3 linked regions of the Drosophila melanogaster genome follow. The protein of the gene in region 3 interacts with the protein of the main gene of each other region in a pairwise test. Each region holds a gene or a part of one and is shown on either strand. Other genes may lie near its edges.

Evidence for each region.
Region 1: the proteins of mRpS18B (region 3) and CG6443 interact in a two-hybrid assay, tested with the Drosophila melanogaster proteins (one large-scale study listed by BioGRID).
Region 2: the proteins of mRpS18B (region 3) and CG12081 interact in a two-hybrid assay, tested with the Drosophila melanogaster proteins (one large-scale study listed by BioGRID).

What each region holds. Positions count from the first base shown.
Region 1 is NT_033779.5:10,727,134-10,730,814, forward strand, and holds CG6443 (uncharacterized protein), read left to right. Parts: upstream 1-1,844; 5' UTR 1,845-1,969; intron 1,970-2,047; 5' UTR 2,048-2,106; coding exon 2,107-2,175; intron 2,176-2,238; coding exon 2,239-3,069; 3' UTR 3,070-3,165; downstream 3,166-3,681. Other genes in the region: CG6431 (uncharacterized protein), read left to right, coding at 472-620, 701-1,135, 1,219-1,423, 1,480-1,543; CG17118 (uncharacterized protein), read left to right, coding at 3,166-3,249, 3,307-3,498, 3,565-3,681.
Region 2 is NC_004354.4:8,587,128-8,591,274, forward strand, and holds CG12081 (uncharacterized protein), read left to right. Parts: upstream 1-1,683; 5' UTR 1,684-2,023; coding exon 2,024-3,235; 3' UTR 3,236-3,647; downstream 3,648-4,147. Other genes in the region: CG12065 (uncharacterized protein), read left to right, coding at 131-398, 461-1,040.
Region 3 is NT_033779.5:20,095,735-20,099,312, forward strand, and holds mRpS18B (mitochondrial ribosomal protein S18B), read right to left. Parts: upstream 1,520-3,578; 5' UTR 1,416-1,519; coding exon 1,132-1,415; intron 1,070-1,131; coding exon 739-1,069; 3' UTR 595-738; downstream 1-594. Other genes in the region: nesd (nessun dorma), read left to right, coding at 1-205, 269-431.

The sequences.
Region 1 (3,681 bases), 9.4 Mb from region 3:
AAATTTAACAACTGGGGGGATTACATGATGGCCAGCTTTTACGAGCCTGCTGATTGATGGTTGTATAACAGCGGGAAATGACCGGGCTGACACCTCCGTTCTGGGAAATCCGCGAAGGAATACAAATTGCTTTTTCTGCAACTATTTAGTCTCGTTAAGAATTTCTGGAAACCGTTTGGCTTGTAATTGGTGATGTATTTTAACTCATAGTTGTAAAGTCTATAATTTGATCCACTTTAAATGAATTTTTCATTATTACTAGCTTGATATTCAATTGAAAATCTTTCAAGATTAACTAAAGTTAAGAGTTAGCATGCCCAGATCTGTGCTTGCTGCACGAGAGATTTCTACGGTTTTATACACACATGGAATTTCCATAGTTCTATTTAAATGTATGCACAAAAAAGAAAACAGAGATATCTGCAAAATACTATTCCATTATTATATAGTGGCTTTTTACAATATTTTCAGCAATGGACCGCGTCGTGGAACTCCTTTAAATGTTAAGAACCCAATAACGCTTTATAAAGGTGGATTTAGCAAGCACCGCGAGACTGTCTTCATAATACACGGATTCAATGGAACTGCCATAGATATTCACCTGCAATTCCTTCGAGATGGTGAGTGCATCTATCTGTTAAATTATTATATTCTACAATATTAAGCTATAATTTATATAACTTTAACTCTCTCTTTTTAGCTTACCTATCCCGCGATTTCAATGTCATTACAGTGGACTGGCGACCTTTGACCCGCTATCCATGCTACCTCCACTCGCTTATAAACACCAGGTTAACTGCGCAATGCACCGCCCAGATCTACGCCTTCCTCACCCACTACGGAGCTGTCCGGGAACGGATCACTTGCGTGGGTCACTCCCTGGGCGCCCACATCTGCGGCATGATCAGCAACCACCTGACGCGGAAACAGTATCGCATCATTGGATTGGATCCCGCCCGGCCTTTAATTGAGCGCATGAAGAGCAACAAGTTTCGGTTGTCGATCGATGATGCCAACGTCATTCAGGTGCTCCACACCAATGCCGGTTTCCTGGGCCAGGAGGATAACTCCGGGCATCTAAACTACTGTGTCAACGGTGGACGCATCCAGCCGTTCTGCAAAGGAAATCCAATCAGTAAGGCTAAATTAAAGTAGTTTAATACCCTCTTTCTCGGAAAAAGAAATCATATATAAATAAATGTGCTCTCTATCAAACAGGAAAATCGCGATGTTCGCACTTCTTGAGCATCTGCTACTTGGCCACTGCCACATTTAAACACAATAAGTTCATGGGAGTACCGTGTCCCAATGGCTGCCTGAATCTTAGTGGATCCAAGAGGCTGCCAGTGAGCGGCAAAGTGAATCCCTTCGAGTTCGCCTCGCTGATAAGGGAGTACCACATAGGCAACGATGCCCCCGATGAGTAAGTTTATTAAAAACCATATATATAATTTATAACCAATTTCATATTTGATTTAGCGCCCGAGGCTGCATTTGCATTGATGTGCCGTATGCCAAGCACTGCCCCTTTACGGATGCGTAGGAGCTGGTCTTCAGTAGTTTGTAATTCTATGATAAAGCTGTCGATAATAAATTCAAGTAATATTATTTTTTTGGTCTTTGGGTATTTTAGTAAATATGAAGGAAAAATGAGAAATAATTACTTACCTTCTACTACACGTAGTAGGAGTTTATTATTAAAATGTTGCAAATTCCAAATTTAGTTTTCGAAAATTTAAAAATCAAATTCGATATACTAAGAGTTTGGTTCACCGTAATATACCAAAATTTATATCGAATATATGATATCGATGTTTGCAATCGTCATTGCAGTCGCTACAGCTGTTTGGTGTTTTACCATCTCTATGGACATTGTGTATATAAAACATTTGTTATTGCTCATAACAGAATTTCTCCATTTACTACAACCTGAAGATATATAGTTATTTATATCGTTAGTTTATTTAAAGTAAGTAAGATACTTATACCGTGTAAAATGTAAAACAATTGAAAAATATCATAACCCATTGTAAATCGCATATTATAGTTTGCCCAACAAGGAATTCCCAGGAAATATATTGTAATTCTTGAGATAAATATATAATCATGGGTTGCGATGGAGGAACTATTCCCAGGCGCGATGAGCTGGTGCGCGTGAAGCAAAAGCCAGAGCAGGTAAGTCTATTCGATTGGAGCACCTCCTAGCCAGACCGAAATATCATTTCTCGAACCCTACAGAAAGACAAAGATGCGGAGAGGGAGTTCCGTTGGCGCCACTGCACCTTGACCCAGCAAAGCCTCCAGGAGCCGATCGCCATGTGCGGCATGGGTAGGCTCTATTCCAAGCAGAGCGTCATTGAGCGACTGCTGGAGAAGGAACCGATGCCAGAGACAGCTGCGCACGTGAAGAGCATGAAGGACATTCGCCAGCTTAATCCCACACCCAATCCCGCCTTCACCGAGGAGGACAAAACTGAGGGACTGCTGGACACACGACATTCTCCTTACATCTGCAAGCTGATTGGCCTGGAGATGTCCGGCAAATTTCGCTTTGTGGCCCTTTGGAGCTGCGGATGCGTTTTATCAGAGCGTGCCTTGAAACAGATCAAAGGCAGTGTGGCTAGCACTTGTCCGCTGTGCCAGGCTGCCTATAGCGTTGAGGACGTGGTGGTCCTCAATGGCAACGAGGAGGACATGGAGCTCATGCGGGTCAAGATGGAAATGCGTGCGGCCAAGCGTAAGTCCTCCAAAAAGGACAAGAAGAGTGCCAAAAAGGTGGAGGTGAAAGCGGAGCCCGCAGAGGAACAGGAGCCAGTGGCGTCCACATCCAAGGCTGCAGCCGCAGAGAAGCCCACTACAAGCACAAAAACCAAGGCGGTGGCGCCGGTCAAACGACTGGGCGCCGTTAATGCAATGCAGGATCCCGAACTGAAGCGTCTCAAGAGCGACTTCAGCGTGGCCAAGGACCCGAAGGCCAGCGATGTTTACAAGTCCCTTTTCACCTCCCATAAAACCGAAAAGGACCAGGAGCGCGCCCACTGGGTCACCTATAATCCATTCTACAATTAGTCTAGATTTCGTTTAAGTTTGCTGTGTTAACTCAGTCACATGTCCATAGTTTGATCGTTGAAACCACACACACAGTTTCAAAATATACAACCGACAATGTATCGTGCAGCCTATCAAAAAGGTTTCCTTACCGTGCTTTACAGCGTAGGCAGTTCGCCCCTGAACAACTGGTCTTCCTATGTGAGTATCTGGCATTCAATGCAGCTGCCTCGTCTCTAGAAAGCATCCTTGTAACAGACCAAAAACGGGTATATCAAACGGATCTACGATGAGGACATCAAGTCCCTGGTGCTCGAGATAATGGGCTCAAATGTGTCCACCACATTCATACACTGCCCCAGCGAATGCAAGGAGCAGCTGGGCATCAAGTTGCCCTTCCTGGTGCTCCTTATAAAGAACATGCACAAGTACTTTTGCTTCGAAGTTAAGGTAAGGCCAAGTGCTATGAATTTATAGTAAACTCTGGACTGCACAATGATGACAATATATCCTTAGATTCAAGACGATCAGCGCTTCATGCGCCGTTTCCGAGTGTCCAATTTCCAGAGCAAGACCTCCGTGAAGCCCTTCTGCACGGCGATGCCGATGGGCATGTCACCGGGGTGGAACCAG
Region 2 (4,147 bases), on a different chromosome or scaffold from region 3:
TTGTTCCTTATTTCATGTTCTTTTCATTCCTCTTTGTATAATTTGGTATATATGTATCTATCAATGTCCTGAACGTAAACCGCTTTCTGTAAGCCAATCAATTGATCCAAACTTTCTCTCTACTCCACAGGCGAATCGAATGTGTATACTCTGGGCAATATCGGGGCGCACAGGATCGTGAGCACCAAGCTCCCGTCGGTGGGCAGCAATCGGGAGGCGATGACGGCGACGGGCAATACCACAACCCGTCTGTTGGGCACATTCCAAAAGGTCGACTATGTTTTCATCGTGGGCGTAGCCGGTGGCGTTCCCCACTACACGGACTATAAGAAGCACGTGCGACTGGGCGATGTGGTCATCTCGTATGTGGACAAACAGCGGGCACTGATCAGCAATAGGTAAGTTACACGAATATAAAATCTTCAATCTATCAATCGCATTCATGTATGGCTCTTCACAGCAAGGAGAAACCGTACGTGTACTTGTACAAGAGCGGCGAGGACGTGAAGACCTACTTCCCGGTGAACGATTCGCTGCAGCAGATCGCCGAGAGCCTGCAGGCCAACATGCAGGTGAAGCGGCCGTGGGAGGACTACCTGAACCAGGCCCAACAGGCGTTGGCCCAGAAGACGGATGCCGACTTCAACCGGCCGGACGCGCGGACGGACAAACTGTTTATGAACATTGGAAATAACGAGGTGATCGAGGTGGCCCATCCCATTGCCGCCGACGAGGTGGACGGTGTCAATCGGTTGCGACTCCATCTGGGTCCCATTGGATCCGGAAGGGATCTGGTGAGGAGCGACGAGCTGCGCACCCAGTTCGCCAGGAAGTACGGCCTACTGGCCACCGATGTGGAGATGAGCAGCGTGCTGGACAGCATCATTGGCAATTGCAGAGAGAGCTTTATACTGGTGAAGGGCATCGCTGACTACAAGGACGGCACGTCCACCAGGAAGTGGCAAAACTTCGCTGCCATTTCGGCGGCGTCGGTGGTTAAGTCGGTTATCTGCGGCATGGACGCGCCCACGAATGTATAGGAGGCGGGGCTTCGAATACCCCATTTCCTCCATTACACCCCAACCCCCCCGCCCACCCCTTCCCTGCAATCGTAGCATTTGATTTGCCTCCAATTTTCGTACCAATCCCGCTGCGGCGTCCCTTTATTTTTTTGTGGCCAGACACATGGGGACCACTATTCGTAAACCAAAATGTGCATAGATTGCATCATATATAATGTATGTTCGCGTAATATTGTATTAAATGATTTCTTGTTATTTATTTTGTTATAACTTTTGTACTACAATCAATCTAATTTACACACAAACACTTGACGTATATAAAAACACATATATACAACAGTAAATAAATATCGCAACTAAGCTTGCAAAAACTAAGAATATTCAATGAGAATTTGTGATTGAGTGAAAAAAAGTTCAGGTAAATTGACCAAAGACATTAGAATATTCTAATTCATTGTTTGGAGCTTCATCTTAAAAATCAATCTAGTGTAAATGCACATTGCCATTGCAACTGTTTCGCTAAAATAGCTAAATATTTAATGCAAATACATTGGATTTTCGAATTTGTCATTTTTTAAATGCAATTGTCAATCAGAAATCTATACTATCGATATCGATAACAGCACGACCCAGTGGAGCCCTGCTATTTCGTGCGTCCGCTCACGCACGCAACTCTGTGTGCTTGTGTTGTTCAAAAATTCGATCCGTTTCGTTTCGTTTCAACATCTGGCAAAACTGGCAGAGCGGAGCGCAGCTAGCGCTTGGTATCAGTGTTTATACCTGTGTGGCCTTCAATTGCTCGCACCTGCGCCCGCACCACCCTGCCCCCGCTCCCAAAAGGAGCGACAACTGCGGCGCACTTGCTTTCCTTTGTGTGTTTTGGCTGCTTGGGCTGCTCGGGCAGCTTGGGCCCAAAGCAAAGATCTCCGTCTCCTCGCACAGCACACTGGTGCTACACGGCTCGCAGCCCACAGCGCACAGCTTATCCAGTTGGCCAAGACATGCTGTGGACGGTGCATCTGGACGGTGGGCCACAGCGGGTCAATCACGCAGCGGTGGGCGTGGGCGACTTCATCTACAGCTTTGGTGGCTACTGCACCGGATACGATTATCGCTACAATGAGCCCATCGATGTGCACGCCCTGAATGCACACACAATGCGCTGGACTCTGGTGCCCCAGCAGCTGGACGACGCGGGTGTGCCACTCAAGTATCCGCTGGTGCCCTTCCAGCGCTACGGACACACGGTGGTGGCCTACAAGGATCGCATCTACATTTGGGGCGGTCGCAACGACGAGAATCTCTGCAATACCCTCTACTGCTTCGATCCCAAGACAGCGCAGTGGTCGAGGCCCCAGGTCACTGGCTGTCTACCCGGAGCGCGGGATGGTCACTCGGCCTGTGTCATTGGCAATAGTATGTACATCTTCGGTGGATTCGTCGATGAGATCAACGAGTTCAGCAGCGATGTGCATTCCCTTAATCTGGACACCATGGAGTGGCGCTATGTTCAGACATTTGGCGTGCCGCCCAGCTACAGAGATTTTCATGCGTCGGTGGCCTACGAACAGGAGCGAATGTACATCTTCGGCGGGCGGGGCGATAAGCACAGTCCGTACCACAGCCAGGAGGAGACCTACTGTCACGAGATCGTCTACCTGGACATGAAGACCAAGGTGTGGCATCGACCGTTCACGGCCGGTAAGGTGCCCGTTGGTCGACGCAGCCACAGCATGTTCGTTTACAACAAGCTGATATATGTCTTCGGTGGCTATAATGGCCTGTTGGATCAGCATTTCAACGATCTGTACACCTTCGATCCGCGCACCAAGCTGTGGAACCTGATACGGGCCAACGGCAAGGCACCGACGGCGCGTCGGAGACAGTGCGCCATTGTGATGGGCACTAGGATGTTCCTGTTTGGCGGCACCAGTCCAAGGAGCGGCTCCTCCAGCTCGCCGGCAGCTGTTTCACCCACTCAAGAGACGGGCGGAGCCGCAGCGGCTGGCGGAGTTGTTCCGCCCGGTGTGGCGCTTATCGACTACAGCGATCTGCATGTGCTCGACTTTGAGCCCACTCTAAAAACCCTGGCCACCATGGTGGTGCTCAAGCACCAGCTGGACATCTCGGGGCTGCCAAGGAGCTTCCGCTCGGACCTGCAGATGCTGACACAGCCGAACAGTATTAGCCGGCCCATCAACCAAGCTGGCTAGCGTCCAAAGCCGTAAGGAATAAGCCGGAGTCGACTGCCACAAAATGGAATGAGGTGGAAAAATGGTGTTGAATCACGGAGCCACTAGTCCGGTTCTTTGTATTGGAGCTCGAATAACACTTTCGGGAGAGATGACGAATGGAGGACCTGAGCGAACGAGGGAGAAGCCCCAGTAATTACAAAAGTTTTAGAAACTTGCTTTTGGTACTTCTGATAGCTGCTAAATAATACACAATAATTATGACCATGCGAATGTAGAATATAGTTCATGAAACATTTATAAATCGTCCTCAAATAATACACAATAATAATGACTATGCGAGTATAGAATATAGTTGATGAAACATTTATAAATCGTCCTTTCGCCAAAATGCCCGATAAGAAAATGAATATAATATCTTAAACTCATTAATCATATTATTCAGTTTTGTTTACTTTGCCTTCTTGCTGAATTTTGTATAGCTGGTTAACTTAACACTATATTAATCTGTGGGCCGTTCATTGCGAACTCCAAACTTGCACGAGTCGGCTGTTTAAATATTTGCTTTTCGCATTAGGATCTATGTGGCAGCCGTTTCGTTAATTTAGACACTTTCAAACCGCCAAGGTATTCATCTCACCTTGGAATTACCTAATCTATTTTTGCGGTCAAACTAGTGACAAATCTCTATAACTAATTTACAGAGATCATCTCCTTTTAGGCAGTGTATGCATATATATATATATATGGTAATTGTGGATGTAACTCCCCTTGAACGCGGTGTTCCAGGCAGGAAACAGTCATCGAATCACTTGAAAGCAACAGCCTCGCACGCAATGCCAGTAAGAGTAAGGTCAGCAGCGCTCTAATTGCCTATTATGAGTGGTAGTTGCAACGCAAGGCCTCCAGGTGCGGAACACAGCGAGTACTTGG
Region 3 (3,578 bases):
AATCTAGTGCTGAGCTGGGAAGCGTCCAGTTTAAAACATGCAAGACTGGACTGGAGTTGCTGGAGAAATCCGCTTCGGTTAATCTGCAGGGTAGCAAGTGCAGTTTTGAAAACTGTGCTTTAGGAATCCTGGCCGATGGTTTCGTATTGGGAGAGCAAAGAACAGAGAAGGTCCTGGTTCTAAACAAATTCAGCGAACTTCAGCGGTAAATGAAAATACGTTGTATTTTACATGTTCAAAAATTACCACTTATATCCTTATTTTTTAGTTACAACGAGGACAACTTGCTAGGTAATTGCAGCTTTTACAACTGCAAGAAAAATGTGCGAGTTTTTAACGAATCCGGTCAGCTGCTGGCTCAGCGATCGCATCAACAACTCCTCGAGGACGAACTCGGAGGGGAGAACAAGGAAAATATTCAATTGGTCTAGGGGTACATTGTGTACACATAGTGTTTATAAATTAAAATTTAGCGCTAACCGAAAATCCTATTGATATGCGTCAATAAATAATACGGGCAAACTCCAGTGTCTCGATGTTGCAATTTCGTTGGATGTCCTATTCTCGAAACCTTACATATTGGTTTTAACTCTTGATAAAGTTAGTTAATATATAATATTACACCGTCTCAGAGCGTCTTCCAGAAAATACTTCCTTTAACACATAAATACTCCGAACAATAACCTGAATTTGTTTACAGTAATTTCTTTTAATAAAAACATGTTAATCATTAGTTGGTTAAGCTTTCTGCTTCTGCTCCTGGCCGTAGTACTCGCTGTAATCATACTCCCTGAAGGGCACATCGTATGTTAGGTACCCGGAGTCGCGGGCTTGCTGAACGGCGACCATTAGACGCAGGTGGCTCTTTTGACACAGGCCTGTCTTTGAGTAGCTAAGGACGTCTCCGCTGTGGGGCGATATGAACTGCTCCAGGAGCTCCGTGTTGCGGTAGTCCAGCACCAGGTATTCATCACGGCAAATGGGACAGGGATTTCCGGTGCTGATACGGTTCTGGCGGATGCACGTCTTTCGTGTTTTGCGCGGCGCATACATGCCCTTGTGGTTGCGCCTAAAGAGATTAGATGCGAATGCAATGGAAGTTTTCACGTGTATGCCTTCAGTTCGTCTTACCGATACTGCGTCCACACAAAGTCCTCGCCGTAGGTTTGCTTGTAAGCGGCGCTCTTTAAGTATCGAATCGAGGTCTCCACTGGGATTGGTTTGCTGCGATCCTTCGGGTCTGGTGCGGAACCACTAGCGTTATCCTCGCCTTCGCCTTCGGTGGCAGCCGCATTATTTTCTTCAGTCGAAGTCTCCGCCTTGCATCTCAAGGCGCTGGCCGTGTGAAGAGCTCCCCGGCTATTCCGGGTAATGTTGACCAGTCCAATGTAAATTCCACGTGCAATCGGCAACATTTTAATTGAATAAAACCTGAAGTTACTTCAAAAAATTCAGAGGCGACGTAACAAGGTAAATTCGTGGAGCCGGCGGATCAGCTGTTTTCCGATACATGACTATCGATACATTCAGGGGCGGAACATTTCTCACTAGGGTATTCCCCGAGAAAAGTTTATTTTAATAATTATTAAAGTAATTTTAACTTAAACTTTGACTGTTACTATCTAAAGGCTGCCCATGCTAGAAACATTTTCATAGAATATATAATCTGTTCTATAAAATACTAACCATATTAAAAAGCTTAAAGGATTGAGCAGCTATAGAAGTGTCGGCATTACCCTTAATATATTACAACTCAATTTTTGTATCAAATGTTCAATAACTCTCTTTAAAATAGAAACCAATATAACGCTATTGAAGGTTGCGGTTGTAGTTTTAAATTTCTTAATCATAATTTGCATTTGCTTAACCGTCAAAATTTAAATAATTTTTACAACGACAAAAGGACTAAAGTTACAGACTGTGGCGTTTGAAACCGCTAAATTGAACGGTGAGTAGGGCAACATGGCCGAAACCAAACCCCAAATGGCCTCTCAAACTAACGGTAAAGGCCGACACACACGCTGGCACCCATACACACGCGACTTTGGGGGCATGAATGAAAATGGCTGCGCCGTACGGTTCGGTTTTCCCGTTAGTTTAGTTTCTTTCGGAATTTACTGGTGCAAAGTAGCGATACTATTACTGCAGCTCCCGCGCCCGCGTGTATGTGTGTGCGAGAGTGCGCTGCGTGCGTGTGTGTGTGTGTGTGAGTGAGTGTACGGTGGGGCAACCTTAAATCACGTGCATACAAAAACCGAATGAAAAAAGCACGGCATTTATTTACATTTGGATGCCACCATAAAAAAATAGAGCGCCGACGCCTGGGTTCGGTGTAAATCGACGTTAGTAAATGCCTAACAATTCCTTGCGTGTGCACATGTTTTTGGTCCCAATCAATACTTGGCAGACGGTCATTTAGATTTAATTGTTGCAAGAAATAGGCCTCGAGCAACAACAAATTTTGAGCGCCGACAATAACAAAAGAAACACCGGCGAAGCGGTAAGTAATTTTCGCTTGCCTTAAAAATAGAGCCGATTGCAGGTTTCTTATCAATTTGCGAAAAGTCGCGACAACAAATAAACAGGGCTATAAATACCGCTATGCCAACTACAAATGTTTAAAACAAGAGCGCAGTTGGGGTGGGCAAACAAAAGCTGGTGGCTTTGTCACCCGAAACGAAAAGAGTGGACCTTTTTCGAACCACCTGCCTTTGGAAAACGAAACCAACTTTCCCATTTGGAGTGTCTTTTCGCGCATTTCGTGTAATAAATGGTTCCTTTCCTGCGGCGCCACTACGAAAATCGTGATTATGCTGTGCCAAATTATTACCTGTTGGCTGTGCGACCTTTTCTATGCCTTTCGCTTCCAAACAAATGAATAATAAGCAAGGTGGGCAGCTCGAAGGTCGGATTCTCTGTTTTGGTCAGTTCTTAAATTTTTGAAAAACTTCTAGTGTTCATTGGGTTTTTATTGCAATGGTTTTAAAATCACTTGAAAAACGATGCAAAAAGCAACTCTTATAATTATTCAATTAACCAAGAGTCATCAATTTAATAATATATTTTTATATTTTTGTAATTCTTCCAATGTAAAAGTTAAAGTTGTGTAAGTGCTGCTTAGTTAAAAATAGATTGCTTATAAAAATATATAGACGTTAAAAGACGTCAGATATATATGTATATGATATACGTAAAAGAAACGACCAAACGATATTAGTTCACACCGAACAAACATTTTCATTAAAAATTCTTGCAAGAAGGGAATTTTTGATTTGTTTTTGGTTAGCGGAATAAAACTATATTAACAAACTAGTTGATGGAACCCATTGGTTACAGGGTATCTAGTACAGGCGTGGGCGTCCCTGAAGGCGGCGCCAAAGAACTTAGTTGTCGGCATTCTCACATTCATTTGGGTTTCTCCGGTTAGCACCGCCCACCACCCACAATCGCTACACTTCCACCCACAGCTCCAGGAGTTGGCATGTTTTTTTACACCCGCTATTGTCGAGTAAAGGGTATGCTAGATTCGCTGGGAAGCATGTAACAGGTAAATACAAATTTATCCGACCCTTTGAAGT